Arabidopsis thaliana: one gene and its partner. The protein of the gene in region 2 interacts with the protein of the main gene of each other region in a pairwise test. Each region holds a gene or a part of one and is shown on either strand. Other genes may lie near its edges.

Evidence for each region.
Region 1: the proteins of TH9 (region 2) and SAMDC interact in a two-hybrid assay, tested with the Arabidopsis thaliana proteins (one large-scale study listed by BioGRID).

Annotation. Positions count from the first base shown.
Region 1 is NC_003074.8:506,798-512,175, reverse strand, and holds SAMDC (S-adenosylmethionine decarboxylase), read right to left. Parts: upstream 3,291-5,378; 5' UTR 3,174-3,290; intron 3,081-3,173; exon of another isoform or gene 3,026-3,080; 5' UTR 2,975-3,025; exon of another isoform or gene 2,872-2,974; 5' UTR 2,777-2,871; intron 2,380-2,776; 5' UTR 2,224-2,379; intron 2,129-2,223; 5' UTR 1,954-2,128; coding exon 853-1,953; 3' UTR 714-852; downstream 1-713. Other genes in the region: AT3G02460 (Ypt/Rab-GAP domain of gyp1p superfamily protein), read right to left, coding at 4,084-4,152, 4,388-4,486, 4,560-4,619, 4,709-4,906, 5,189-5,305. UniProt on the Arabidopsis thaliana protein: Essential for biosynthesis of the polyamines spermidine and spermine. Essential for polyamine homeostasis, and normal plant embryogenesis, growth and development.
Region 2 is NC_003074.8:2,643,483-2,647,415, reverse strand, and holds TH9 (thioredoxin H-type 9), read right to left. Parts: upstream 2,339-3,933; 5' UTR 2,007-2,338; exon of another isoform or gene 1,890-2,006; 5' UTR 1,827-1,889; coding exon 1,806-1,826; intron 1,695-1,805; coding exon 1,575-1,694; intron 1,482-1,574; coding exon 1,359-1,481; intron 1,271-1,358; coding exon 1,112-1,270; 3' UTR 812-1,111; downstream 1-811. Other genes in the region: UBC12 (ubiquitin-conjugating enzyme 12), read right to left, coding at 2,871-3,014, 3,129-3,233, 3,325-3,455, 3,865-3,933. UniProt on the Arabidopsis thaliana protein: Probable thiol-disulfide oxidoreductase that may play a role in intercellular communication due to its ability to move from cell to cell.

The DNA of each region.
Region 1 (5,378 bases), 2.1 Mb from region 2:
CCGTTTGACCAGGACATAAAAGACACATACGTGGTTCTCTCGATTTCTGATCCGCAAACGACACGGTATTATTTCACTTAGACTCCTCTGTTGCGCGATAATAGGATTTTGAGTGAAAGAAAATGTTTCCTTCTTCTTGTACTGTCGTTTTAAGCAATTTTTTCTTAATTTAACTAAACGTAATTATGGCAGAATAAGGTTCTAAGTGAAAACAAGAAATTGTGGTTTTGAAGTTTTTTTTGCCTACTATTATTCATATGAGTCATCATCCTTTTGTTAAATTATACTACCACTTTCTTTTTAGTTCTTAAAATTTTAAATAGTCAGCTCTAAAACTAATTTACTCATGCAAGTTGTTCTCTTCTTTTGATCAAAAGTCCACTTCTCCCTTTTTTTTTGGTTTAATACTCAAATTCTCCCTTTTTGTTTTATTTTCGTCTTTTTTTTTCTTTTTTTTTTAATATAGTACTATTTACGTAACCATAATTTGTCATCGGAAATAAAAAGATTAAGACAACTGAATTTTGTAATGTTTTGAAGATAATATTGCACATTTTGCTACATTAGTGTCAATCTCGTTTATTTTTCAACGAATCGTTAAAAAAAACAAATATAATAGTAAAAATCGATAATAGTAATCATCATAGCAGCAACATTTAAGAATAATAACATAACAAGTCTTTAGGTATATAAAACCCATATTCATAAAGTAGAAAACACCAATACAACTTGCTTGTGAAGGAGACGAACTCAAACTTCACAAGTCATTATTCATAAGAACTTAATAAGTTTTTTAAAAAGAAAGAACAAAAACAGAAAGCTCGAAAATAGTTATTAGGAAGAAAAATTCTGCTAGATTCCCTCGTCCTTCTCGTCCTCGCTGCTGCAGCTATTGTTGCTGCTCCATTCACACTTCAAGGTAGATCTAGGCGATCCACAGTACTTACCAAGCTTCTCAAACGTCTGATACATCACTGTTCCACTCTCTTCTCCTAGAGACTCAAATGTCCTCTCTCTGCACCCATAGTCTTCCAAGTCTACAGTAATCTCTGGCTTGTATGAGTTCGCTCCAACGCTCGAGTGCACAGCTACAGAGAATTGCTTGGGCTCGAAGCAAGAGAGAACCCTTGTCACCAGCTGGCTAAGGTCAAGGGTGTTGAAGTCGTAACCCACAGCTTCGAAGCTAGCGTAGCTAAACCCATCTTCAGGGGTCACATGGATCGTGGAGATTGCATCCCCTTCAATTGAGTTCATAGAGTAGCCGCAGGGCTCGAATTCAAAGTCGCAGATCTCAGACTTGGGAAGGATCTTTCTGATTCCAGAGTTATCAGTCATTGACCCAGTCTTGTCAGCTTCATCCTTGTAGAAGACAGCAGCTTTCTCTCTGTCCAGACCAGTCATGCACATCTCGAGAGTGTAGACATTGTTGTTGCAGTTGCTGGAGTCCTGGGCAGAGGCAGCATAGACATGCCATTTCTTAGTCTCATCATCATTGCCCATCAAGTAGGCTACGCTGTTCAAGCCCAGCTGAGTAAAGTGCCCATCAAGAACAGAGACTTCTTCAGAGAAGCTGCGGTGAGGAAAAGGCTGGCCTCCGGGGCAGAGGAAGGAGCCGCGAGTGTACTTCACAGACTTGACACTCAGAGAGAGCTCACCAGCCAGCTTTAGAAGTGGTGGGATAGAGAGGAGGAGCTTAGTGGTACCGCAAGTCTTGATGATGACTTTGTAGGGGTAGACAAAGAAGCTGGACTCAGAGAGTACGTAAGAGTCCAATTGATCGTTGGAGAGAGATGAAACGATCGTGCATGCAGCAGGTGTAAGAATTTCATCAAGCTGGGACTTGGTCAGAGCACGGAGTCCCAGTCCCTTGGAGTCTTGAAAGATGCTTGGCTCAAAGAAAGTCACCTCGAGCCGTTTCTCGTAACCTTCGAAACCGATTGCAGATAAGGCCATCTCGCCTTGTTGTGTGAGCGACAGGACTTGTAGTAGGAGGAGAGAACGATTGGATCCGGGAACCAGCAGAAAAGGAGCTTTGAAAGAAGAAAATTATAAACTGGAAAGTAAAGAAAGCTATAACTATATTATGAAGATCGGTGCACGCTGGTACTCAGGATGGCCTCTTGGAGCACTGCAACAAAAAGCAAAACATAGTTAAGAAGAGACTACATAATGGATACCATAGAGATTGAAGAAATCAGATATAGCATTATAGAGGAAACTCACGTTTGAGTAGACAGAAGATTTGAATTTCTTGATTCCACCGTTTGGACGAACGTCTTCAATGCTGTAACCGAGGGGAGCTTCGTAAAATAAGGAACTACTACTGCTGGACTTCTTTTTACCACCTTTCGACTCCATCATAATCTCATTCACGCTTTTCTGTATTAGACAAAACAAATCCAAAGGAAAAAGATCAGATGAAAAATAAAAATACCAGGTATTCAAAAGATCACACAACAATGTTTATCAGGACAATACGAATCTATAAACCATAAGAACCATTCAATTTTCAATTGTATATCTCGAATGATGAGTAGAAACCAATTATTATAGCAGATCCATAACTAAAAACAAAGCCTAAGACAATAGGCAATCATACATGTAACAAAACAAAAATCGAAACCAAGTCGTTGGTTTCAGGTATAAGTCAACCTAACCATGCATGCGAATATCAATCTCTTATACCAAAACCTAGGACGATAAGAACGATGTCTATCTAACCTAGCTAGGCTAATGAATCAATCGAAGAACGACGTCAATCGTGAGAGATACTTACATATATAAATGAAGATCGATAGATCAAGATCGCGAATTATGAACTCCTTGTTTCCAGAAACCCCTTTCTCCAGATATCAAACGAAACCCTCAAACCTGAAAAAAACCCAGAATTCACCGATTAAAAAACATTATCCTCAACGACGGAACAGATCTACAGAGAGAAAACGCAGATCTACAATTCAAAAAAGAGACTCACCAGATAGAGATGATTCAGAAAACCGCAAGACTTTCGAGAAAAGAGAAAACCCTAAATTTGAGAGAAACGATTAAGTTGATGATTTGGTAATGATGAAGCAATGAGATGCGTTCGTGAGGAGGAAAAGAAAGGTAGAAAGAGTGCCTTTATATAAGTACTAGGGTTATGCTCCCTGACAATTACGTATTTGACCTTATACCTTAGCGTTTATATCGCGTGAAGCTATCTGAGCCGTTGATTATTTCCAATTTGCCGTTCCGAGGTTTTTACCCAAATTACCCTTCAACCATTTACTTACGTTGGAATCGGTAGGTGCGAGCATCTCCATTCCTGACCGCAGATAAATAGCCCCAACTATTTTAACAAATTTGCTTTTTCCTTTCGCCGCAAGTAGAAATTATTTTAATTTTAGAGATTTGTTTCTTTATTATTTTTTGACATTATCTTTTGCGGAACAACAAAATATAAAACAGAGATGGGCCAACACGCTATATTAACCAATCAAAGATTGACACGTGTTTAGAAGATACGTGTGCCGTTGAAGCGGATAACTCGAGGCGAGCTGTCACGGTAGCGTAGCCGTGGGGCCTAAAAGAATCAAATTCTATTTCTCAAAGGCTCTCAACTGCTCCACTACATGACAAAATTGGGCCTCCCCGTGACTCACTCATGACTCATGTCCACCATTTGTCAAAAATCAACAAATAAAATGTATCAAAATTATAACCAATCACTATTGACCAGTGTGTAATTATTTATTCCAAATCTTTTTTGTTCAACCATAAGTCGTATTTAAAATTCTGAGATTTTGGACTAGTTTGGTACCATGAACCTTAAAGAATAAAAATACCTTTAAACAATATGATTTACTTTTCACATTAGTGATATCTCTCTAGGAACACTGGTCTCTCTCTCTATCTATACATCAGCTGGAGCATGCCTTCTTCTTTTCCACGAAATTGCTAAAAACAATCAGAGAGCTTCTGATAAGAAATTCCCACCCAACTTGACAATATGATGAAAAAAGAATATATTCCAACAAGAAAAGATAAGATGAGAAAACGAATTCGAATCCAACTTCTGGTTCAGGTTATTGCCAACCGGATTTCCTACGGTTGAACCGGTTTGGCATTAGTCTTCTGATACTCCAGTGTCAGTTCTTCCAAACGCTTTGATACCTGCCATGAACAAACAAAAAAACACAGTTGTTGATTATTCAAGAAAGCTGAGAGCGTTTTTCAAGTATACCATCAGATTTAACAACATCAATGCCCTCAATTAATCACTACAAGTAAGATTAAATTATCTATCAAGTTAATCATGTCGATATCGAGAATCTGATTCTTTCATATCTCTCCCGAGTTATCATGGAAATTTTACCAGAACATTAACTTTTCGAAAACGAAAGAGAACCTTGATAGAGTAAGCCAATGGAAGCAAGGTATCCGGATTCATTGCGTCTTCCGGGAAAGTTTTCAGAGCATGTATTAGTTTCTCAAACGGTAACTTTACCTGCAGAGTTAATTTTTTTAAAAAGGTTGGTTTTGCGAAATTAACTTACAGCTCGTAAATAAACCTCACTCACCAACTCATCTTGGCAATACTTGAGCAATGCTAAGCCCACTTTGAACACGATTTTAACACCCTTAAGAAACAATGACCATAGAAGATAACAGAATGAAACTTTGATCACAACAAACGTTAAAGAGATTTTAAGGATGCGCATTTAGTTACCTCGGAGAGAAACACATCCCATATCCGTAGAGCCAAAGGGAAAGGAAATGAGTATGAGAAGACGGTGATGAACCATTGACTTGCATACATACTCGGATTAATCATTTCTTGAGTAAAATGTTCTCCGAGCTTCGGAATTAGCTCTTTTACCAAGCTTTCTAACTGAAACAGGTATTGCTGTACAAGGGGAAGCCCTGCCTACATTACACACAAACCACTGACTCTTAAGAAATAGATGAAATGTGCGGCAAAGACATTACCTTGTTAAATCAAGGAACGAACTATACAGTAGCCTTTTAAATTGGATAGTTGATTCATAATCAATGACGAAAAACTCTCACCAGAATCGTTATAAACTTAATCTACAGAGAACTTTTTTAAAACGTGGTCACAAACTCTAACTCACGCAGAAAATACTCTTTTTGTTTCATTCAACTATACAACATTTTCTTGCAATCTTCTAATAATTAAAAGACTCACATGATACAGTCCTTCCATTGGAGCATGAACAGCTCCTTTAAGTAATGCAACTAATAACCAGAAGGCATCTTCTTCGCTCATATAGAGAAGCAACAAACCGGCTATAAACCCCATCCCCTGCAGATATTAGAATCATGAATCTTAGTCCCATACTAAAAGAAAGAAAAATGGGAAACAAGGGAAATATCTA
Region 2 (3,933 bases):
AATAGTCATTATTTCCAATCGAAATGTTTATGATTGGGAAATGATCAAAAGGATACATATTTATGAAATTCAACACACAAAATAAAAGGGAAAGCATCATAAAGAATTTCTTACTACATACTAAAAGTTAAATTCTTACATATAAATATCTTATCTTAAGATTTACCACGTGTTATAATTTTGTGAGCTAATAATTTTTAAAACCTTATTTTATATAATAAAATATAATCGAATTTTTAAAACCTTATATTGTGAAGGAATTGTTTTGATTGAGAACAAATTGTAAATTATTGAACCAGAGCAGCTAATATTGACCGTTGACCCATTCGTTTTATTATTCGAGTTTCACTCTGAGTAAAGTTCAAGTCATAGTCAAAGTCAAAGTGGTTCTTCTGAATCTTTAATTGTGAAGACTTGAATAAACGCCAAACTTACCTAAATATCATTTCTTCTTGGCAGCTTATCCATTGCCGAAAGCTCTCTCTAGATGTTAGGATCGATACACTCACTCGCGGTTTTGTTTTGAAGAAGAATTATTTGTAATATTTTAGCATCCACTCAGACTAATTACAGAATAATAAAAAACTAACTATAACAAGAAGACTAACTTAACGATGGCAAATGTATGTTTTACTTTTGGTCTATATTTTAGCATCAAGTCATGGTAATGTTAAGGTTCTATCTGGTTTAGGAACGGTCCAAGCCCTATCCCTAGCCATAAGGCCACTTCAGGCTCCTCACCCCGATCTCTGCTTGAGAGATTTGTGAAAGTATACAAAGGAGAAATCAATGGTGGCAACGAAATTCAAAATGTCATCAAGAAACAAAGGCATTGGATGATTGTTTCCTCATTAGTGAAAGAATGATAATAAAGAAGAAATGAAATTAGAGAGAGCCTTATTGCTTTGCACACTTAGATTGCGAGGATTCAATAATATAATGAGTAATTTGAATGAAAAAGATGCATATTATTATATCAAACAGGATGATCTAACTCAAGTGTTTTTGGTGACCTTTCACACCTTTTTTTTTGCATATTACAACAATTGATCACCGTCAAGAAGAAGACACAAGAACAGACCTCAGAACACAAGGCTGCGAGAGTCAAGAGTCAAGGCCGTTGAGGACTTTCAGGCACAGAATCAATGATAGAAGTAACCTTCTTCTGTAGCTCCGGTTTGTTTGCTCCAACAAGCTTGCCTATTTGTTGTCCATTCTTTAGGAAGAAGAAGGTTGGTGTCGCCTTAATGTCCCATGATGAGCTAAAATCCTGCACAAAGTCACACAAACATATTTTAAGATTTTGAAAGAGAGACAAGGGAAACTATGTATGGGTATACAGAGTATGAGTTACTTACGCTGAGTTCATCAACATCTACAAGAAGGAACATAAGAGAAGAATGTTTCTCTGAGAGCTCGATGAAAAATGGTGCCACAATTTTACACGGACCACACCATGTCGCACTGAAGTTTGCAACCACCTGTTTCAAGAGAAGAGAAGATATTAGCATGAGATTGAGAAACAAACACAACACTACATGAGAGAAGAGAAATATCAAAAAGGGAAAAATTACGATTTTGCCATCACGATCAGCTTCAGCTAATTTGTCATCCCAACTCTCTTTTGTTGTAATCAGATGAACATTGCCACCGGAAAACTCGACGTTATGGACGGAATCATCGTCTCCTTTACCCTATGTAGCAAAACAAGAAGGGATTTTTTTACATTATCATCGCATAACCAACAAATACAGAATCCGACAAAAACCAAAAACCAAACAAAAGGGTTTCGTTTCTTTCAATACCTTAGAGACGCAGCTACCCATTTGAATGTCCTGGAAATTCGAATTTGCCTGAAAATAGAAAATCGATTTTTTTTTTGCAATTCCCTGGAGAAAAAAGGGGGAAACTTTCAGCTAATCGAATTGCGAAAAGGATTAATAACGAACAAACGAAAATTGAGAAGAAGAAACGGATTAAGAGAATCTGAAAAGGCAAAAACGGACCTTTAAGAGAGATCGGATACGATCAGACGCTTAAAAGCATCATAAAAAATATGTGTTGAAAATTTTAGAGCGAAGAAGGAAGAAGAGAATTTGTGTTGTACCTAAAAAGAATTGTGTTTGTGTTCTTCTGGTGATGTTAGGGATTGTCGAGAGAAGAAATGAAAGAAAACGCCGTCGTCGTGTTTGAGGGAAGAGACCAAATTAGAAGAATCGTTGATTGGAGAAGAAGCTCCCTCCCATTATGACCGCGTCAGACCCAATTTCCCCTTCTTACTAAATTTACCACTCTACCCTCCTCCTCTCTGTCCATTCCACTTTTTTTTTGTTTTTTTTCTCACTCTTTATTAGCTATCAATTCGTGTAAATAATAAAAAATCTGTTTTGTTTATTATTAACCGTACTTTCAACAGATTCTTTAGATTTGCGGTACTTTTTTTTTTCTGTCGGCAACTCAAATTCTGCAGTACCATTGTTTATTAAAGAATTGACTTTATTATATACGGTTGAAGACTTTGCCATAGTGTTTAGTTGATGCTCAAAAAAAAAATACTAAAGAGGATTAAAGATTATTGATTTAGGTAAAGACTTAAAACGATTCTATAGTTTAAAAAAGAAAAAAATTTACGAGGTTGTTGCAATAGCAGTTTCCAATTAAAATGGAATTGGAAAAATAAGAATATGATCAGAGCACTGAAGACAAGTAAAAAAGAGCAGCTAAAAAAGTCTTTCGATTATGATCGTCACATCATAGCAGCCATTGCTAAAACTAACCAAAAAACAGAAAAGGTAAATGTTTTTTCTTCAGTTTTCTATTTCCATTGCCAAGTAAGACATCCTTTCCTTGTCTAGACCACCTTTGTCTTATCATCCCATCGCGTACTTCTGTGTCCATTTTTGTGCAGTTGACTCGTATTTTGATTTATCTACCTTGTAGAGATGAGCTATCTCCGGCACAAGAGGATCATTTGGGTTCGGGTCAGTCAGCAGCGAGCAAATCGACAACAAAACCTATATAATTCCACACCATCAATATCACTCGCACAAAGTTCACCAATATACTAGTTTTTTTTTTACAGAACATGACTTTGGTAAAAAATAGTAGTAGAGAGACAAAACTCAAACCTTGGATGTGGTAGGAGCAGGACTCCATTGCTCTTTCAATATGTCAAGGCAAATGCTTCCTTTGCTGTCGATGTTTGGGTGGTACACCTTAGTCTTGAAATTCACCTGCAAAATCGTACACTCGCTAATAAGCCTGATGATCATAGATTTTCATTACACATCAGATGATTAAATTAGTGTTGAAAAAACACAACACCTTTGGTGGCTTGAAAGGATAATCCGAAGAGAAATCAATAGAAACCGTAAATACGCCTCCGGAATACGGACTGTCATGCGGTCCCATGATAGTTGCTTGCCAATGGAATATGTCCTCCTCAGCCACAGGACCTATAAGAAAGACGTTGCAATCAGACCCATTTATTCATCGAAAAAGACAATAAAACCTGCATGATCAAGTGATACTTCTTATAGAACAGAGACAAATTGGCAGAATAAATAAGAAGTACAAAAGGAGACACTTGAAATAAAAGCAAGCTAAACCTCTGGATATTCTTAATCGTACCAGGCAAAGGTTTAACGAGTTTTCTCGAATACAAAAAAAAAAAAAAAAAAGGTTCATGCAGAGTACATATATATAACAGAACCAAAGAGAGTCTAACAAATCATAGCGTTACCAAAAAAAACTCAGAAACATATAATGTGGATTGATGAAATAAAAGTGTGACATATATCAAACCCTAAAAGTGTTTTTAGTGTGAATCTATCAGTCAAAATCAGCCAAGAAAAGGGAGATTACCTGCGCTACAGTTTGCTGGAGGATGTCTCTGCATATCCCTCAGTTCCCTTGAAATCCTCTTAGAAGCCA